Drosophila melanogaster: one gene and its partners. The protein of the gene in region 1 purifies or fractionates together with the protein of each later gene. This does not show direct contact. Each region holds a gene or a part of one and is shown in the gene's direction. Other genes may lie near its edges.

Region 1 (5,617 bases):
AACCAAAGCTTCTTAGAGCACAGCAGTCAGGAATGTTTGTTTATATTGTTCACTTTTAATTTCTGTATTTTTCCTCATAATCTTATTTCTTAGATTCTAACACGCGACTAACCATGTAAGTACAAATTAAATTGCAGTTGATTTCCTCATTTTCCTAACGCCTATTGTACATAAAAGCGCATCTCAAGTCGAAAATTCACCATTACTTCATATTAATTTTCAAAGTCCCAGTGTTTTCAATTTTTTGTTAATGATTTTGTTTGCTTTTAGGTTGGAGGCGATCATCGAAATGCTTACATATAAGTTCAATAAGTTCTTAGTTTTCTTTTGTTATTTATTGAATTGGTCTCAACTGAAATCGAAAATGTGAAAACTGTACAAATTAGAATATTACTTTTCAGTTTATCCTTGTTTATGGAAATGTGATTCGGAACTCTAGTAATAAACACAAATCTGAAAGTTGTTGTGCAACTATTTAAGATCAGTAAGGGCACAGAAGCTATAAAAATGATTTCTATCATCGAGCTAACGTACACTAGTACCATACCTTATAACACGATAAATTACATGCATATATAGCCTCTTTGATTCTATTATTTTTAGAACTTGCCTCTGCAATTTACCTAGTTTTTCCTAAATACATAAATATATATATATATACACAAGCCAAATTGAATGGCCTAGCAAAAGTTTAATCGCATACTTATGGACATATTTCCTTCTTCTTATCTATTCGACATCGAAAAATGTGCTAACATGTATATTGTAATCGCCCGAAAACCACAAACCATATTATATTCAGATGGAGATTCTGGAGCATGTCCAAAGTCCGGTGTCGACGAGAATCCGGCTCTTAGGATTTTACGGGAAAAAGTTATAAGGCACAGGCGCAGGCAAACATATACTATTTCATTTTTGATGTATTTTACACAACATAAACTTATAGCTTTTTCGTTCTAAGCCAGTTAGTGTAAATATATCGTTTCGAAAACGGACTAATTGTATTCGGTTTAGTTTTTAAGTTTCAAAGCTGATTCACTTGCTGATCTATAACATTTTCCGATATTACCTAGGACCCTCCTATTTCTTACTATATATACGCTGTATTTAAAACAAAGCGAAGCTCTCTGAAAATATTAATTGTTGTGCTGTTAATTTTTAAGTCAAAACCAAAATAAATAAATAAAAAATTAATAATTGCTAAATTTTTTAATGGAAACAAAGCAGAAAGAAAGGAATTATAGATGGGCATTTCTTTTTAGGGGCACCGAAAGTATGATAAATTTAAACTTCATTAAGCCAAAAAATAGTGCGAGTGATTTTAAAATCGGAGATCTGAAAAAACATCGATTGATTTTTAAAAATAGTGTGACCGAAGTTGACCGCCCGTCAGCATAGCTGGGCACACTGCAACGGCGCGCTTCGGAATCGAATTGTGTATATTTGGATTTGTTTTGAAACATATTCAGTCATTGGCAATGGAGTTGGTGAAACGCGGGTTCCTGCGTGCGTGCAAGAACCACAGCTACCTCAGCTTCGAGCTGATCGATGATATCCTGGCCCCGCTATGTGCCAACCACAAGACTACAAAGCCCGGCAGCAAGGAGGCGATTAGGGCACTGGTGGCGGAGATTAATGACACCATCAGCGACTTGGGCCAGTTGCTGGTCTTCATCAAGTATCCGGTCAAGGCCGAGGAGTACCTGGTTTACGCCAAGACGGACGCTACGCCGGACAGCGTGGCCAACACCGGGCTCACTGCCGAGGAGTGTCAGTACTTTTCGAAACTGCTGGACAAGATCGCCTCCGAGGAGGACTGCCACATCGCCTGGAATGACGCCTACAATGATATCGTCCTACAGGCCAGCTCGAAGCCGTTGAAGAAGAGCCGCATGCAGGAGCTGCTCCAGAAGTGGATCCAAATGGGCTACTTCATGGAGGTGACCGACAGAATCTACCTAGGTCCACGTAGCCTCGTCGAGCTCAGTTTCTATTTGAGCTCGAACCACGCCGATAACATAAAAAACTGCACGCTGTGCAAGTGCCTGGTGTTGTGGGACATTCGCTGCGGGTCCTGCAACATCCAGTACCACCGCGGGTGCATCCAAACCTACTTGCAGAGACGCGATATTTGCCCCTCCTGCGGCAACCTATGGACAACTCCAATAAGACGCTCCATTGGTTAATCATTATGTCCGCGACATGTACTATAGATTTTGATACTAGAATAACAGTAGTCCGCTTTATTAACTAAATGATTTCAAGGTAGAAAATAAATAATTTAAAGCAACATCTTAACTTGAATTTTAAAACATCTTCATGTAAAGCATCGAGAAGTATAAACTCCACACTTTAAATGGCAAACATTAAAGAAGACCAAATGCACTCCTATCGAGTGTTCACTGTACTTGTAACTGTAAGTTTTTTTTGATCCGTTGCCAATTTAATATGGCGCTAGCAAAACAGAAATGTTTCAATGTTCGTCGAGATGAGTGTGTGTGACAGTCCCAATAAAAATTCCAAGCTGGACAAAAAGTCTCTGACGCCCTTCAAAAAGGTGCGGCGGAAAAACTGGAAACAGGAGGCGGCCTACAAGGTAAGATGATGGGCCTCAAAACAATTTGACCACCTAAACGTAGTTTTCTTTTCGCGCAGAGTGATACGAGCAAGGGGCAGGAGGTGTCCTATGTCGGCGAAAGATTCATACCCAACCGATTTGAGCGGGAGAACATCGAGTTCAACCTGAAGTACATTGGCAAGCGGAAGGAGCGAGATATCCTCGAAACGGTGTGTGCAGTACTTCTGGCTATATATACTTTCCATTATTAATTGAAAATGACTTTTACAATCAGGGTGTCACTTTGACCGCCAGCTACTGGCGACAGAGCGGCTTCATATCGAACATCAACCGAACCTTTGGCATCGGAGAGCGCCGCCTGTTTCAGTTTAGCAGCCAGCAGGGCACAAGATCCAGGGTGGTCGATAACGACTCCGCCGATTCGGACTGGCCATGTAATCCACGGGCGCGACCATATGCCATTCAGAATGCCACCCATGAGATGCCTGGCATATGCAGTCCCGTCGACTACAACATGATGGACTGGTCGTCCGGCGGCATGGTGGCCATGTCCTCCGGACAGGATGTCATGCTGTGGCGCAATCTGGACGAGAGCACCATGGTCTTCAGCGTCGAGTCGCCCACTTCCCTCAAGTACTCGCCGGATGGCAAGCACCTGGCAATCGGCTGCATGGATAGAAACTATCCAGGTATAACAGACCCTAAGCAATAACTTTGTAAAGCCCTAACCCTCCTCTTTCGTACAAGTTCTGGACCTCTGGGAGGTGAGGTCGCCTACGGAGTTCTTGGTCTCCTACCGCAAGCTGTTCTTCAAGTCCATGGGCTACATAAGTTGCATTGAGTGGTCCCACGACGGCAAAGAGGTCATCTGCGGCACTCAGTGCGGCGTCATCATCGTGCTGGCCATGCCCACGCTAAACACCCTGATGCAGTTGCGCGAGCATCGACACACGGTGAAGAAAATGAAGTTTGCTCCCACCCATAAGTATTTCGCATCCAGTGATACGGATGGCAAGATTTTCATCTTCGATGCGGTGCTAAAGGTTCGCCTGCTCAAGTTGGACGGCAGGTCCATAGTCTTTGACTGGCATCCGTGGACTGGAGAGGATTTAGCCGTTGGTAAGATAGTGGCAGATTAATTATTAGAGTATCTGCAACATGAATATTATCTTAACAGCGGAGCGAAGCCCTGCGTCGATCTTCATATTCAACATCCCGCGCCGACAATTTGTGGCTTCGTACAGGCGCAGGGATGACAGAATCGTTATAAAGACACTAACATACAGCAAAATCACGGGCGAGTTGCTGGTCAACGTTATTCGGCGTGGTGAGAACTGCACTGGATCCTTAATGCTTGCTAAAAATAATGTATTCTAATATCTACAGATGATGCGGACCTTGCAGTGTGCGAAATTCTGGTCTTGGCCTCCTTAAACCGCGTGGTTGACTTGATGTCCCATCAGGATCGCGGCACCCTCTTCCTGATGTGGAATCCGGATGGAACGAAAATTGCCACCGGCGGACTGGACGACACCTTTTCGCTGTGGAACTTCTTTCCCACCTATAAGCGCGAGGCGATATTGAGAAAGCAAGAGCAAAAGGCCAAGGACAAGTGCAGCTCCCTGAGCCTGTACAAAGGCATACGGTGAACAGAGCACAGTGATTTTTAATTGTTTATGTTTCTAGTCTTTTATTCAAACCATTTGTGCTTTTCATTATTTATTCAATTCATATTACTTTCATAAAAAATCCATTCTGTTTAACTCTAAAATGAACACAAGAAGATGGGCCTCTCCACCCAAAGTGAAGGTAAGAAAGTAAAAGTCCATTCATTGTTCACCATGTTACAGCGTTGAAATTTGGTAACTAATCACTAGGCTATAAGTATGTAAAGATGTCTATGACGGCACTGGCAGCCTTGGCTCAATATTCGCTCCGTTTGGGTCTTGACTCGCCAATCTGGGAGTGAACCTCCTGCTGGAAGAGGTACTCCGCACTGGCCTCGGCTTCCAGGCGTCGTTTCTCGAGAAGATAGGGTTTGATGACAAGGCGATGGGTGGTGTAGAATATAACAGTCGATCCAATACCGATGGCCATCAGACCAACCGTCGTTGTGGCGAATCTTTTGAAGCCGTTAATGAAACTCATCTGTGGGCGAGAACGGAATTCAATTAATATATGACTTTAGCCAGCAGATTAGGGTTTAGTGTGCGGGCTAACTTTGTGGTTCCACTAGTTTCAGTTACTGCTGGCGTTTCTGCCTCGGTTTTCTTCTCGTTTTTGTACTTCAAAATCAGCGGTTGCCAAATGTAAATACCGCCTAGCAGCCCAATGGCCGTGACCACCATCAATTGCGGAACAGTGACACCACGCGGACGACGAATTTGCATGGCACGTGCGGTTACTTTGGCTATTTATATTTATTTCTCATTAAATGCACAAGTTTCTTTCGCCGGCTGCTGTTACATCAACGCACCATGAGAATTTATTTCAGATCAGCTGTTTTGTTTAGCCGACACTTACCAACACTGAGTTCTATAATAGTTGTCAGCGTGGCCAGACTATCCCCGACACAACTTAAGCTTATTTGAAATTCAAATTTCTATTAATAGCTATTCATAAACTGGCTTGAGTATTTGCAGCGGGCGTGAAAGAAACTGTGACGTAGTTTAAGAATAATAACATTTGCAAACTTTCCTCTTTGATGACTATGCAATAATTCACAAATAGCTGAAGTGGGGAAAGCCTAATAAAGGCGGATATTGTTCGCAACTAATTTGTACAAAATAACAAAATAACATTCATAATGATGAATGATCCTTAAATATTTGTATAGGTTTTTTGGTTAATCCTGTCAATACAGGCATGGAAATTCTCTGAGTGCACTGATGCACTGTATAGTCTAGTCGTTTCCCTTCACTTCCCTCATCACTTAACCACACTCATCACTTTGCGATAATGACGTACGTATGCTTTGGGAGTCCCAACAAAAAAAACACACATGCGCTGCCCCGTCGACGCGGCAGCACAGCAGCAGAG
Region 2 (7,503 bases), on another chromosome or scaffold:
CGCATCTCGCCGCAGTACAATGGTTCGCGCAAGAAGCGCTCCTCATCCTCGAATGGAAACCATCAGCATCAGCACCTGCAGAGCAGCTACAGCCACAGTCAGATGGGCCTCTCCAGTTCGCCGGACAACGGAGGACCTCGCTCCCTCAGCGGACCGCCGCCCACGCGCCAGCCACCGCGTGCTCCGTCCGCCCTGAGCTATGACCAGGCTGGTGACGCCGGCAGCGACATCTATGTGACCAGTGCCGCCTACAAGGCGCCCTCCGAGATCAGGTGCGTTGTTACAACTATATAGCATATAACCCATATCTAAACTATCTATCATCCATTACAGTCGCTACAGTCAGCGTCCAGTGTCGCGAGGAGCTCCACGGAGTGTTTACTCCGTGGCCAGTACGGCCAAAACCGGACGCAGTGCGCGCTCGACGACTCGGCGAGGCGCCAAAGTGGAAACCATGTCCGCGCCGAATCCATTTTGCCCCAATGTCAAGGGCGTGTGCTGTCTGATGCTGTTGCTCAACTTGGGCCTGATCCTGGTGACGCTAGGATTCGTCATTGTGGTGCAGTTCTATGAGCCACTGTACGTGTGGATACTGGGAATTGTGTTCCTGGTCTTCGGCTTCCTCACGCTAATCGGCTGCATGATCTACTGTGTGTACGTGTTCCGGGATGCGAAGACGCCATCGCAGGTGCGCAACGAGGATCTCTACTGGACGCGGCACTGGCAGAAGAATATCGGATACACGCCGCAGGAGATCAACTACAAGGCGGACAAGTACGATGCCTACTCGGATCGCTATTCGGTTAGCAAGCTGAGTGGCAAATACTCGGATCGCGAGAGCCAGCGATACTGATTGTTATGCATATGTACATATGTATGTATGTACATACATATGCGGTTTGATGAAAGGGGATCCTTTGGGCGGAGAAGAAATATGAATAGCCACATATAAACCACTTATATCTTAACTAATTGTAAGACTATCTACTAGTTCTAAACGGTTATTAACAAGGCCCCTCCAACGTACCTGCTGCAAGTTGCTTGCTGGTTTGTATGTTTTAAGAGTGAAACTGACGGGAGACGCGAACGCGAGGATGCAACAGAGTATTGTAATCTGCCATATTTGAGAAGGTTTGTTAGGTTTGATTTGGCTAATCAACAGAAGAGTTTTATGCTAAAATTGTAACTGCAATTGTAACACACGAGAAATAAACAAGCAAATAATACCTACTAGAGATAACGCTGCGAATTTGTTTTATTTTTGAACAGTCTCTTCTACTCTTTGCTTTTGAGTACTTGATTCCCTTTTTTTTGAGTGTATGAAATAACCCATGTGGCAACTCCTATTAGTCTGGCAACCTCTCTGTTACGGTATTTTTACAACGTGGTATTAACAGCGCTCCGGAATACTATACGGTATATTTCAGCAATCGAAGAACGGCCACATTGCGGTGTGGAAAATAAACAAATTGCAATTATTGCTTAGCACAAACGATTTGCCGTGATAATGTCGTTTCATTTGAGCACAAAAGAGCGCCTTCTGCTCCTGATCGACGACATTGAGATGATTGCCAAGGAGTTGATCGAGCAGGCGCACCAGAAGATCTCCAGCACCGAATTGGTGGACCTGTTGGATTTGCTGGTGGCCAAAGATGAGGAATTTCGCAAAATGCTGGAACTGGCGGAGGAGCAGGCGAAAGTGGAGGAGGCGATGGACCAACTGCGCGCTAAGGTCGAGGTGCACGTAAGTAGAAGTTTTGCATTCCCCAAAAATAAGGTATAATCTGGATTTTCCCGCTTAGGACCGTGAGATCCAGAAGCTGCAAAAGTCGCTAAAGGATGCGGAGCTCATACTGTCCACGGCCATCTTCCAAGCGCGACAGAAACTGGCCAGCATCAATCAGGCCAACAAACGACCGGTTTCATCCGAGGAGCTCATCAAATACGCACATCGGATTAGCTCCGCCAATGCGGTCAGTGCTCCGCTCACCTGGTGCATAGGTGACCTGCGGCGTCCCTATCCCACGGACATTGAGATGCGCAACGGGCTGCTGGGTAAATCCGAGCAGAACATCAACGGCGGAACAGTGACCCACCAGAACAGCGGCATGCCCTCGGAGCAGCAGCGAACGCTGTCCGGTAGCGCAGGAAGTGGGAGTGGCAGTGGCGCCGGCGGCGAGGTGCCCAATGCCTTCCAGAACCAGTTTAACTGGAATCTCGGAGAGCTGCACATGACCATGGGCGCCTCTGGGAACACAGTGGCCCTGGAGACGCGCGCCCAGGACGATGTGGAGGTCATGTCCACGGATAGCTCAAGCTCCAGTTCCAGCGATTCGCAGTAGAATTGGATAAAAAACTATAACTAAATCTCGTTTAAGCTAGTAGTATTAGGTATTTAATAAAAGCGCGCTGTAAGGAAGTCTAGTTATGTATATATTTGAGTAGCTGGGATACATATCTAATTTTATGACCTTCTTTAATGATATTAATTTACAATTTAAATTGGCATTTAAAAAAATGCAAAGTTATGTATCAGTGGAAACAGCTTATAATAGCTTCGTGTCAAGAGCTTGGTACTTTTGCGCTAGTGCGATACGGTCCTCCTCAACCATATAAACAATCGATTGGCAGGGTCGCGTGCAATCGATACTTTGACAGCTCGCAATTATTTTAGCTTTGGTTTTTCAAATAAAATGGAATGCAACGCGTATGCAGCGTGTTTCAAGTAGCTAAAATGTGGCCAAGGTGTAGTCCAGTGTCGCCGCCAATCGCAGATCAGCCCCGTGTGCGTCTTTAACGAGAGATAAGCCCCGAAAACGATAGTAGAAAACCGACCCCCCGTTCGCAGTGTGTGTGTACAGAGGGCGAAGCGAAGCGAAGGCTCGACTCAAACCAATTGCAATATCAAATATAAAGAAAAAGTGGAAGTGGAAGGTGGAGTGGAGTGGAGGCCAGGGAGCGAGAGACACCGCCATCGCCACTTGCATCGCCGCATCCGCAATCGGGTTACATACGACACTCACATACCACACAGCCAGCCAGCACACAGGCCAAACTTTTACTTTTTCCCATTCGATATTGTTGGAAAAAATTTGGCCAAAAGAAAACAATTCGAATACAAATACAAACAGAAGAGTGTACGAGTGGGGGGCGACATGATAGTTTGTTTGAGTTCTACACACTGCATGTTTGAATTATTGTAAAGCCCTGAAGTACAGTGAACGTACATCTCATAGAGCGCCCCTAGAAAGTCGCACATACCGCCCAGACATGATGATTCAAGAGCCCGTGCAGGTAAATCAATAGCTCCTCGGTCCACCTGGCCTCTATAAAAAACCAAATTTTCTCCCTTCTTTTTTTTCGCTCCCAAAGGCCGCCATATGGCATTGCCTGAACTACTACGACTTCAAGGATGCCGTTTTCCTGTCGGAACGCCTGTGCTCAGAAGGTATAGGTCAAGGTCTCGTTTGTCTGACCGGGTATATCACTGATTTTCTCTTTCACCGTGTCCTTGCAGTGGAGAGCGACGAGACGATATTCCTGCTGGCCACCAGCTACTTCCGCTCCAATCAGGTGCACCAGGCATATTGGCTGCTCAAGGAGAAGGCACGCCGCTCGCCGCAGTGCCGCTTTCTGCAGGCCAAATGTGCCTACGAGCTGAAAAAATACGCTGAGGCGGAGAGTGCCCTGATCTCCACGGGATTCGCGGACGCCAAGAACTGCGATGAGCTGCAGCGGGACTTCGGGGATCTGGCCTGCTTCGCCTATCAGCTAATGGCCCAGATCTGCATGAGGACCGAGCGCAATAAACTGGCCGTTAGTGCTTTAAGGCGCGCCCTCAAACTGAACCCCTTCATGTGGCACGCATTCGCGGATCTGTGCCTGCTGGGCCAGGATACAGATGCGGCGGCCATATTCCAAATCCACAGCACAGATGTGTTCAATACCTGCCAGGGCAGCAGCGTAAATGCCAATGCAATGGTGCTGTTCGGAGCCGAGCAGCAGGGTCAACAGCATCAGGAGCGCCAGTCGCTGATCACCAACCTAAGCAATGTCTCCAACTACATTCTGACCACGCCCGTGGATCAGCAGCAACAACAGATCAACCAGAATCAGAACCAGCACCACAACAGCAACATGGTGACGCCCATCAACAATAATAATAATAACAACAATCTCAATAGTTCGATCAGCATGCTGCGCGGGGGTTTGGTACAAAACTCCAGCATGCTGGCGATGCTGGAGGACACACCTATGGGAGCTCCGCAGGACCCGGCCGGCCAGTATCAGCAGAACCAGCAGCTCTACGACATGAGCAGCGGTACTCCGTTTCGCAAACAGTTCAAATACCTATCGGCCATCTCACCGCCAACACCGAGCTTCGGCATCATGCCTTTAACTAGTCCGTGCACCGGCAACGATGGATCCTTCATTGGCAACCACACGCCCGTTATGAATATAAGCTATTCGCCGATGCCACAGATGTTGGTCGAGGTCAACCAGGAGCCGAAGATGATGGGCAAAAAGCTAAAGACACATGTGGGCGGACTCATCAATCGCAAAGAGGGCAGCCTTAATAAACCCGCCGTCTTTACGCAAGCCGGAAACATAACGCCCCGCACTCCGAACAACAATAATGTGGGCAACAATGGCAATATGAATGTGCCGCCCAATCCGAATGCTGCAGTGCGTCGCAGTTCGCGGCTGTTCAGCAACTCGTATTCGGTGAAGGAGAACAATAAATCGCCCAACATAGCCAACAAGTTCGTGCAGCCACGTTCGCCGCCCCGCAAAGCCAAGTCACGGATGACCAAGATCTGCCTAAATAACGAACTGATCGAGGATAAGTCCCACCACCTCTCCGAGAAGCGCAAGGAGAAGGTGGAGACTATTACTTCCTCGGGAGCGAATAACAACAGCGGTGGACGCAGTGCCGCCGAGGAGGCCAAAGTACTGCTGAACAATAGCCTAAACAATGCCCAGACGATGGCCCACCAGCTGATGGGACTCAAGAAACAATCGGCCGATGGGCTGATGGCCCTGCTGCGGGGTTTAGCTGAAGCCTATCAGCTGCTCTCGAACTTCCAGTGCAAGGCGGCCATAAAGCAGCTGGAGACGACGATACCAAAGCACCACCTGAACTCCAGCTGGGTGCAGTCGCTCATCGGACTGGCCAGGTACGAGATGCGTGAGTATGAGGCGGCGGTGGCGATATTTGAGACCATCCACAAGACAGAGCCATGTCGCTTGGACTACATGGAGATATACTCGTCATCCCTGTGGCATTTGCAGCGCGAGGTTGAGCTGTCAGCTCTCGCCCAGGATCTGATTAACCAGGACAAAACCAGCCCGGTTACCTGGTGTGTGTCCGGCAATTGCTTTTCGCTGCAAAAGGAGCACGAAACCGCGATCAAGTTCTTCAAGCGGGCTGTCCAAGTGGATCCAGACTTCGTCTACAGCTACACACTGTTGGGCCACGAACTCGTACTCACCGAAGAATTTGATAAGGCCATGGACTACTTCCGTGCAGCAGTGGTTAGAGATCCGCGGCATTACAATGCTTGGTACGGCATCGGCACCATCTACTCCAAGCAGGAGAAATACGAGCTGGCTGAGATTCACTACGTGAAGGCGCTGAAAATCAATCCACAGAACTCGGTTATTCTCGTGCACATCGGCGCCATGCAATTCTACATGAAGAAGAAGGATCTGTCGCTGCAGACGCTAAACACGGCCGCCACGCTGGACCCCAAGAACCCGCTGACGCGATTCCATCGCGGCTCCATCTACTTCTCGCTGGGCAAGTACCAGGAGGCGCTGCGCGAACTGGAGGAGCTCAAGGAAGTCGTGCCCAAGGAGTCGGTGGTGTTCTATCTGATCGGCAAAATCCACAAGACGCTCGGCAACATGGATCTGGCGCTGATGCACTTCAGCTGGGCCACCGACCTAGATCCCAAAGGTGCCAACAATCAAATCAAAGATGCCTTCGACTCAATGGCTCATCCCAGCTGCTGTCCGGCCAACACTACGGCCCTGGACGTTGATCTGGAGCCCACTTCGGAGCGTTCCGATGACTCGACGCAGGCGCAGCAGGACGGAAGCTACGACAGCGACTACTAGGGAGCTGCAACTCCAAATTCACGCGGTTGTATATACGTTAAATGAGAAACACAGTAAACAAAAAAGAAAACTTAGTAACAGATACAAAAAAAAACCCCGATCGATTGCTGCTGTATTGTCGTGGAGGAAAGGAAACCAATTATGAAGTATGATAAAGTCTAGATAACGTTTAGCATTAGTAATTTAAAATATACAAAAAAGTAAATGGTTTAAACAAAAATTGTGCACTCTGAAAGTCTAAGGCAAAATAACGAAAAAGAAACAACAACAACAAAAAACAACAACAATTAAATACCACTTAAAAATATACAAAAAAAAAGGGAGATATACATTTTAAATGTTAAGTTAAAGCAACAAGGATCTTATGGGAATTAAATATGTTGGACTTGGACATTAAAACTATTCAAAGTGAAAACATTATACTACTGCTATAAGTTCCCCATCATATCTAAGGTACTTCCAATTCATCCTCTTCATGTTTTATCGGAAAGCGCAGGATTTGCTCGTGGCTCAAGCCCTGAGTGATATCCAGCACGCAGCGCAGTCGCTCCAAGTCAACGTTCAACATGGTGGCCAGTGTGGGCAGATGCTCCTCCAGCAAAATGTACTGACGCGGCCGCTGCATGGTCAGAATGCTGCTGATGTCCTTGGTGCCGAAGATCTCGCCAATGGAATCGGACAGCGAGAAGTTCAAGGAGACATCGGAGTCGAGATCCGATGGCGATTTGTTTACGATTTCACCGCGCCGCTCCGGAGTTTGGATCTCATCGGGTGTGAGGCTTAGATCGCTAAGTTGCATAGCTGGAGCAGATAAGGATCGTCTTCGAGTGGCACAGCTGGAATCCTCAGCGGGCGGAAGTTGATGAACAAAATGGGCGGGATATTTGGCAGGCAGCTTGGATGGCGATGGTGTGCTTCCTAGCTGATCGGTGGAAATTCTTGACTGCAGTTTCTTAGCCGGTTGCTTTGGTTTTCGACCACGTTTTTTGGGAGTGCATTGAATGCTTCTCCTTTGTGAATTCCTTTGATGAACTTCTTTCTGAATATTATTCTTCTTCTTTACGGTCTTTTCAACTTCATCTAAACTTTTGAGGTGGATAATCTTATATGGAGGCTTCAGGTGAACGATTCTATTGGAAGTTTTCAAGGGGACAACTTTATCCCGGGATCCAAGATGGACTAGATTATCCGAGGATCTCACGGGCACCAACTTAGCTGCAGGCTTCAGGTGAACCACTTTCCCTTGCTGCAACAATAGTTCACTGTAATCATCTTCAGTGTTTCCAAATAACTGAGGAGAAAGACTTTTGGGCGGAATCTTCTGCAGATCCCGGTTTTCCTTGTCGATGAGGCGCTGTGATCGCCGCAATGGGGAGTGCTGGG
Region 3 (8,709 bases), on another chromosome or scaffold:
GCAATGGAACAGCAATGACTCACCGATGATGGCTGGGCTCTGGGTTTCGGTTTTATCAAGCAATTTGATTGCGTGGCGGGGGAATCTTTCGACGGAATCTTTATCAGCTTAATTGATTGCTGGCTAATTGAGTTGCATTCAAACAGAATGATATCTTTCTTAAATTATTTCTACTACTCTTGTCGAGTATTTTTAAGTACATTCACTAATTACAAAGCGATTATATTATATATACATTGAAATCGCATTCGGGATAATATTTTCATATATGGCAAGCATTGCAAAAAGTTGCCCCTTTCATCCAGTTAACTATGCCAAGGACGTGGGCCACTCACCTCGCGCTGCGGCAATCCTAGGAGGAATCGCAGGATAGCCGCTTGGTGTCGCCACTGGTGGTCAGCACGAAAACGTAGTGGGTGCACTGCTCCGCGAGGAGATGCCACAGCGAAGCGGGCAGCTGGAAGCGGTGCACATACGGCTCCTCGAACTCCTCGTAGTGGGCCACCAGGCTGTTCTGGTTGCAGCGCAGCTCGATCAGTCGGATGGGCCTGCTGGAGCGAATCTCACGCGTGTCGCGGTTCAATTGTATGCTGGCCGCCTCAAAGTCGACGGCAGCCGTCTGCTCCAGCTCCAAATTCAGCCAGCGATGATGGGCCAGGATTACGGCACAGTTGCGTGCAAAATAGAAGCTATCGTGGCGTCGCTGGTTGTGGTAGTTGTCCAGCAGTTGGCTGCTTGGCTGCAATTTCAGTTTGGTGAGGCGGGCGCGGTTGCCCGTTGCGGCGCCACTGCCGGCGGACGAGGAGGAGGAGGAGGTGGAGCTGGATGAGGATGATCCGCCCTCGGATGAATTAGTATTGGCAAGTGAGCCCCTGCGGGCGTCCACAATTCGCTGCGGCAAATGCTCCGTGGGCTGGTCCACGGTCAACACGCGATTCAAGTAGTCGAAGCCCTGGCCCATCACACCCTCGCTGGTGTGGCCCAGATCGAAGCAGTGGCCCAGTTCGTGGCACACGGCGCCCAAGGTGCTGGCATAGACGCCGCCGTACGTCCGCCGATAGTTGCTCTCGTCCGGCAGGCGGGCGATGTCCACCCGCTGGGCGCTGCGCACACAGTCGCCGATCTCCGCGAAGCTCGTGGGCCACGCGTAGAAGTGGGCACTACCAAAGAGCGCCAAGCCGCCGCCACCGAGTGCTGCGTGTCCCTTGAGATGCCGCCGGATGTTGGCGTACGAGGAGTCACCGCTGGCCACCACTGCGTCGCCGTCGTAGCGCGTGCAGCCCACAAAGGCGACGAACTTGAGGAGCAACTGGTGGCCCCACTGCGGACAGGCGATAATCTCGCCGGCGAAATGCTGCCACAGCTCGTCCTCGCTCTTCGCCAGCGCCTGTTTCCGGGTCAACTGGCTGCGGAAGGCGCAGCACTTGCCGTTGAGCGTGAAGGTGCGGTTGGGAAAGCCCGCCGCGTGCAGTTTGTGCGCGTAGATGGACTGCACCAGCCGCAAATTAAGATCGATGAGGGAGTGCACCTCGTGCTGCTGCGCCAGCGTCTTCTCCTCGTCCTGACAGAGCAGGTAGAGCGGCTGCACCCGGTAGGAGCTGCGGCGGGGCCGGTAACTGAAGCTAATCGTTCGGGTGGCCGTGCAGGATCGCAACTCCAGGAGGCAGGCGCTCTCCTCCTCCTCCTCCTCGCGATTCGCTTGTTCCAAGTCGAATAGGAGCTTAAACTCGCCGCCGGCCGACAGCTGGGTGAGCTGCTCCTGGGACAGGTGCTCGGGCAGATCGAGGATCGCCTTCAGTTGACGCGCCGTGGAACACTTGGGCACCAGGCGTCCCTTGACCAACAGCAGGCTGTGCTCCAGGCGCTCCGACGTCAGCGGCTGCTCAACCTCGATGCTGTGCGCGCGCTTGCAGCCGGCGGTGCCGCTGCTCATTGCCAAATTCTGGCCAGGATTTCCGGTTCCGTTTGTCTGCTCAAATCAAAATCCAGACTCCGAAATCCAATTGGAAAAGCCGAACAAACGCACTGTGCTGCCAGACCGGGAAAATAACCGGTACGCCAGCGGACCAAAGCTGGTTGCTACAAGTGACCAACCGGCATTGTAATCGATAGTAAAAGCAATCGAACTGTTATATTTTATATTTTTAAAAATAGGCAAAGCCATTTCTCTAGCATTTCTTTCGGTATGACTTTATGGCATATACTGGTAATTGTTTTGTTTGTCGCGATTCTGGTCTTCCTATCGTTATCGGCCTTTTGATAGCTCTCCTCATATCGAAGTACTGCAGGCCCGATAGAATCAGGCACTTATCGCCACCCGATTTCGATGACAGTTTTTAAATAATTGTGCAAATTCCTTGCTAATAATAAATTGTAATCAATTAACTTGTCAATCGCAATTCTGGATGCACCTGGCGACGCGGACATGATCGCCGTCGCAGAACCGCCGCTGGAGTTTGTGCCGCGCGGCCGTCAGACGTCCGCGGAGCATCCGGGCCCACATGACCAGCCAATGGCGCGCCACCAACTGCCCACCACGGAGCATCTGCTGCTGCAGCGCCTCCAGAATGTGAACATCTCGTCGGCCGGTGAGGACTGCCCTTCGGGCGGACAGGAGTCGTGGACAGTCCGAGAGCTGTACGATGACTACGAGGCATCCGAGGAGCGCGCCGCCCTGCGACGCAAGTTGACCGAGCGGACAAAGCGATGTGGTCTCCAGGCCACCTCGCTGCCGAACAGACTGCTCAATCCACCGCTGGTGCGGCGCGTGGAGCCAATGTGCGACTATATGGTTAACAACGAGGAGGAGCTCTATGTGAACCGGAACACGGTGGTGTGGACACAAGGCGTCAACGATGACGACGATACCGACAATGGGGTGTACCGGCGCATGTGTTTCACCACCGATACGCCGGTGCGCTTCGCCTGCTTCCTGAATCGCAGTTTTGTGCGCGGGCGACTGGCGCAGCTGAAGGCGGCTGTCCACCCGGATGACGACCATTTGACCGCCATCTGTGTGATGGATCAGGACGCCCTGCGGGTGTACTGCAGCAACGGCGAGGACTTTCTAGCCAATCTGGACTTTCCCGTGTCACAGCTGTGGCAAACCAAGTATGGCCTGCTGCTGGAAAAGGACTCCAGCAATGCCTTGATATCGCACATGTCCATTCCGATGCCGCGTCTCTTCTCTATGTCGCATCCGCTGCACGAGGCCTGTCCCGTCGTCCTGAAGACGGCCACCGGCTCCACCGGCTACATGACCGAACCGGAATACACTGTGGTCTTCACCACCGAGGAATCGGATTTGGTGATGCTGTACGATGCCAAGTTCTTTAAGCATTTCGTTGCACGCCTGCGTAAGGTAACGCCCGAAGAGATCAACTATGTGAGTCAGCAGATGGAGCTGGGACAGACGCTAATGGGACCCAGGTCGATGGCAGGCAATAGTTTCAGTTCCACCAAGCAAACTGGAGGTGAGTTGATAGCAATGCCAGCAAGGGCATACGATTTATTCACTGTCTATCCATTGCTAGCCACGCCAAAAGCAACGAACTTATCGTTTGCGGCCAGGAATATCAACACCACCACCACCGGCATGGGCAACCAGTTCGGACTCAGCCAGTCGCAGTCGTTCAGCGGAGTTCTTGGACAGTCGAAGTACGTTTAAGTCGCTGTCATCCATCACTTACTTATTATTGCCTCTTCTTCCGTTTAGTCGCGCCTCCCTAGGCACTCCATTGAGCCAACTGCAGAGCAGTATTAGCCAGCAGTCCATGTCCGTGAAGGATATGCGCAAGTTAACGCACGTGAAGCCGGCAAAACCCATTGAGCCGGAATTGTGTATGGAGCACATCTGGACGGAGAACATCTACGGAACGTCAGTAAATGCCACCAAAGATGCCACTTTCAGTACTAAAATTGTCTGTCTTCCTTAGTCAACGAGAGTTCTGCGAGATGGCCACCCGAGCATTTATCCACACGGATTTAGTGGGTCAGACCTTTTTGTGCTACCTGCTGGCCCGCTCGTGCCGCCTTCAGTTGGTCCGCCTCACTGGCTATGGAAGGGGCGAGGTGCAGCTCTCCACGCACGCCTCCACGCTGGCCGCGAAAGATGCAGTGGGTCTGAAGAGAATGCACATGATTGCCGTTCTCGATCCGAGTGGCAGCTTACTTCTATACACAGGCACCGTGCTCATATCCAAGGTGCACATTACGCCGTTTTTGGCGCCTACCTCCATTCCCACACCGCTGGTAACGCCCATGACTGCTGCCCCATCTCCGTCGGCTTCGCCCGCTCCGTCTCACGTTAAAACACCAATGGCAGCTGCTGGACCAGCAAGCGGCATTCCGTCCGGCAGCAGTTCTTTCGTGGAGGTGCGAAGGAGCAGCCTACTGCCCACAAAAGCGCCGGGGGATGTGGCTGCCTTCGAAGAGGAGCTGCACATGCTGTCGCCCATCCAACCGCAGCCGGTGTCCTACACACAGCGGCAGGCGCACAATGTCTGCAAATCCCTGAGAGATCCGGCGGGAAATCGATTGACTTTGGTTTATGCCACGGGCAGAATGCTCAGAATAGCGCTGCCATTTCTAAATGATACACGATTGCTCACCAGATGTGTGGCTACGCTACGGCAGGTTCTAAGTCCGACCCAGTTCCTGGACTTTGTTATCCGTTGGTATAGCGACAGGAATCCGCCGGGATCGAGGAATTACTCCATAGAGCAGGAATGGCTGCTATTCCGCTCCACACTGCTCGCCCTAATGGGTCTGACTGCTGCACCGGATGTGGATGCGGGCGAGAACTACGCTAGATGTGCCACGCCACCGCTGCACACTCAATTTGGAGGCGGCGCTACTGCGACGGAATCGAGTGACGGTTCTAGTTGCAGTTCCAATTCTACACTGGGTGGCCAGGATGAGCCGAAGAAACGGCGAATATACAATGATTGCGATGATTTCACGGACGACGACTGGGAGTTCCTGCTGCTCCAGACGACACTGGCTCCCTGCGGAGCCGATGGCCACAGCTACAGCGTGAACATCGGTGCGCTGCTCTTCCGAATGATTCCCGCCATCTTCTTCAGCCTGCATTTACTGTACGAGGATCTCAAACTGGACGCTGACTTTTATGGAGCGCTTCCATATCTGGCAACGGTAGGTGAATCATTTAATAGATCCATTAGTGGTTTTCTAACACCATCTCCTCGTTCCAGTTCCTACACCAGCTGGCCATCGATATGCAGCTGGAAAGTTATGTGCTGCACTACATACTAGACTTTCCGGAACTCTCGAATCGTACGGGCAAGCTCTCGTTGCTGGGAGCTGAGCACGGAGCTATGATGCTGCACCAGGAGCTTCTGAGGGTTCCGGCACCCAGTGTGTTTGCCCAACTCGAGCACATTATTGTCGGCGAGGAGGAGGTGATGCCTTACACCTTCTTGGAGTGCGTTAACGAGAGAAGTCGCATTTTACTGCAGCTCGTATCGCTGGTGACTCATGGGCATGAGCGTCTGAATTACTGGTGGCAGCTGCTTGAGATCCCCGGCGCCGTTCAGGCCAACTTTACGCGGCGCTCTAAGCGTAATATCACGGCGGATGCTCCGCGTAGCCATCAGATGTTACAGCTACTTCTGGCCATGCGCTTGACACGGCGAGACATTGAAAGATTCCCGGCGGCAGTGCATCTGATTGTAGCGGAGGCACTGGAGGAGGCTCGCCTCTCGCCGCCCATGGGCTGCAGCATGGCCACCTATGAACTTATCCTGCGTCCAGAATTGGCGGCCCACGCTCAACTGCCGTTCCTCGAAACGAGCACTGGGCAACCGCATTGTGGCCGGGTCTACAAGGAAGATTCACTGTCAGCGAGGTGTCCGCCGACCGGGGGATCAGAAACTGATTCACCGGCCCAATTGCGCCGCGACGACATGGACAACATGGACACAAAACTACTGCGTCTGCGTTTTCCCGATGACATGCGGGTGGATGAAGTGCGCCGTCTGCTTAACAGCTCGGAACCGGTGGTCATTGAAGTGCAACAGGCACCGGGAACCAGCGATCACGAATTCATTGAGGAGCAGGAGAAGCAACTGTTTGCACTATGTTCGCGCACAATGACACTGCCCGTGGGCAGAGGTATGTTCACCCTGAGAACGATGTTGCCGCGGCCCAGCGAAAGCTTGACCATGCCCAAATTGTGCCTGTTGGGCAAGGAGCCGCTGAAGGGCACCACCATCGAAATGCAGCAGATCGAATTCCCAGCGAATATGCAAATGTGGCCATCGTTTCACAATGGCGTGGCCACTGGCCTGAAGATCTCACCCCAGGCTCAGGACATAGACTCCAATTGGATTGTCTACAACAAGCCCAAAACGCATTCGCATAATGCCCTGGAGCACGCTGGTTTCCTCATGGCCCTGGGCTTGAATGGTCACCTAAAGACGCTGTCCTTCATGAGTGTCTATAAGTATTTGGTTAAATGCGATGAGATGACCAACGTTGGTCTGCTGCTGGGCATTTCCGCTGCCCATCGCGGCACCATGGATACGAAAACCACAAAGTTGTTGAGCGTTCACTTGGAGGCACTGCTGCCAGCCACCGCCATGGAGTTGGATATACCGCAAAGCACACAGGTGGCTGCTATAATGGGCGTCGGTTTGCTCTATCAAGGATCAGCTAAGCGCCACATAGCCGAGGTGCTGCTCCAGGAGATTGGCCGTCCTCCAGGCCCTGAGATGGAGAACAGCATTGAGCGCGAATCGTATGCCATGACAGCAGGTCTATCCCTCGGATTGGTTACCCTCGGTCAGGGTGAATCGCCGGCGGGCCTAAGGGACCTCCAACTGCCGGATACCCTGCACTACTACATGGTCGGTGGAGTGAAGAGACCCATCGGCGGTTCCCAGAAGGAGAAATACCGACTAGCCTCGTTCCAAGTTCGTGAAGGCGATACCGTCAACATAGATGTCACTGCTCCGGGTGCAACGCTCGCATTGGGACTTATGTTCTTCAACTCGGGGAACGCAGCTATTGCCGAATGGATGCAGCCGCCGGATTCGCGGTATCTACTGGACATGGTGCGGCCTGACTTCCTTCTGCTGCGCACAATTTCCCGGGGCCTCATCCTATGGCAGGATGTCCGGCCGGACAACGCGTGGTTCCAGGCACAGTTTCCGCGAGCACTCCGAGCTCACCTAAAACTCCCGTTCTACGAAAATGAGTATGCACCCGAGGACTATGACGTGGACTACGAGGCCATCTCGTGAGTAACTGAAGTTGAATGTCAAAGTAATTAGATACGAATTATATACTCTTGTCCAGGCAAGCCTATTGCAATATCATGGCTGGAGCTGCCTTCTGCATTGGTCTCAAGTACGCCGGCACTGAGAATCTGGTGGCCTTTGCCACGCTGCGGTCGGTGATAAAGGATTTCCTTCGCTTCCCCAGCAGGCCGATGGGCGAATGTGCCGGTCGCACCACTGTGGAGAGCTGCCTGATGGTGCTGCTCATCTCGATCTCGTTGGTGTTCGCCGGCTCCGGCAACTGCGAAATTCTTCGCATAATTCGGTTTCTCAGGTCGCGAGTGGGACCACAATATCCGCACATAACCTACGGCTCTCACATGGCCATACACATGTCGCTTGGCCTGCTATTCCTCGGCGCGGGTCGCTTCACCATTTCCCAGACACCGGAGTCGATTGCTGCACTGGTCTGCGCCTTCTTCCCCAAGTTTCCCATACACAGCAACGACAATCGGTAAGGATTAATATATTTGCAGCAATGTGTTAGCACACTTCACCGCATGGATTTACATTTTAAGATACCATCTGCAAGCGCTGAGACATCTCTATGTACTGGCTGTGGAACCGCGCCTGTTCCTTCCCCGGGACATTGACACCAATAAGCTGTGCCTGGCCAACATATCCGTGTTGGAGGTGGGTGCCACCGAGCTGCGCCGCCTGCCCATCGCTCCCTGCATCCTGCCAGTGCTGAGCACCCTGCAGCAGGTGGTGGTGGACGACGAGAACTATTGGCCAGTGTGCTTCGAGCGATCGCGCAACTGGGATCAGCTGGAAAAGGCGCTGGAGATGAGTGCACCGATTGATATTAAGAAGCGAACGGGCTGCCTTTCCCACTTGGAGGACCCGGACAGGCTGAAGAGCATGCTGGCCCAAACATTGACGATGGAACAGAGCATCTGTTGGCAGATCGATATGAACGACCTGCAGCAGTTTGCCAGCGAACGTATGGTGAAGCAGTTCCTCAGTCGCTGCCTGGACACCAAAGGCACGGATTTGAGTCCCCCGGAGCTGATGAAGCGGCACCAGGTGATGCTGCTATTCTACAATGCCGTGGTCAAGGATCGCATGCATTTCCTGCCGGTTTACCTAACCCTATACGATGTAAGTGCATCCATTCACTTGCATAATTTGACCGCGAATGTAACGTTCTTTGTTTTTAGCACGTAACCAAGTCCATGCCGAACAACATCGATGTGTGGCAGATGAAGCTCATCGATGCCTATTTGAGTCGCAGCCAGGAGTCCGAGCATCCGCTCATCTCCGTGGAGCTTATCCAAATGATGCAAGAGCTCTTCAAGCAGGAAATGGAGGACTCGACGCGCGAGTTGTGCTTACCGCTGCGCGAGTTCCTCAGCCGAAGGCGTCTGGATCCCAGCTATGTGACCACAGTCAGTGGACCGGACTTGCAGCG

Evidence for each region.
Region 2: the proteins of cort (region 1) and Cdc27 purify together in Drosophila melanogaster (affinity purification with western blotting; 2 studies listed by BioGRID, with this or other methods). This does not show direct contact.
Region 3: the proteins of cort (region 1) and shtd purify together in Drosophila melanogaster (affinity purification with mass spectrometry, with the first as the bait; one study listed by BioGRID). This does not show direct contact.

The regions. Positions count from the first base shown.
Region 1 is NT_033779.5:6,673,410-6,679,026, reverse strand, and holds cort (cortex), read left to right. Parts: upstream 1-2,391; 5' UTR 2,392-2,476; coding exon 2,477-2,596; intron 2,597-2,655; coding exon 2,656-2,787; intron 2,788-2,852; coding exon 2,853-3,267; intron 3,268-3,325; coding exon 3,326-3,697; intron 3,698-3,755; coding exon 3,756-3,905; intron 3,906-3,964; coding exon 3,965-4,227; 3' UTR 4,228-4,345; downstream 4,346-5,617. Other genes in the region: Nse1 (Non-SMC element 1), read left to right, coding at 1,479-2,186; CG34310 (uncharacterized protein), read right to left, coding at 4,502-4,721, 4,799-4,968; cup, read right to left, coding at 4,713-4,726.
Region 2 is NT_037436.4:7,244,449-7,251,951, reverse strand, and holds Cdc27 (cell division cycle 27), read left to right. Parts: upstream 1-2,611; 5' UTR 2,612-3,270; coding exon 3,271-3,294; intron 3,295-3,372; coding exon 3,373-3,448; intron 3,449-3,517; coding exon 3,518-6,120; 3' UTR 6,121-6,471; downstream 6,472-7,503. Other genes in the region: CG14830 (uncharacterized protein), read left to right, coding at 1-272, 334-853; MED4 (mediator complex subunit 4), read left to right, coding at 1,508-1,744, 1,803-2,342; mei-P22 (meiotic P22), read right to left, coding at 6,569-7,503.
Region 3 is NC_004354.4:15,456,052-15,464,760, reverse strand, and holds the start of shtd (shattered), read left to right. Parts: upstream 1-2,319; 5' UTR 2,320-2,425; coding exon 2,426-3,473; intron 3,474-3,533; coding exon 3,534-3,657; intron 3,658-3,715; coding exon 3,716-3,877; intron 3,878-3,935; coding exon 3,936-5,154; intron 5,155-5,213; coding exon 5,214-7,258; intron 7,259-7,317; coding exon 7,318-7,752; intron 7,753-7,816; coding exon 7,817-8,399; intron 8,400-8,458; coding exon 8,459-8,709. Other genes in the region: CG6294 (uncharacterized protein), read right to left, coding at 353-1,933.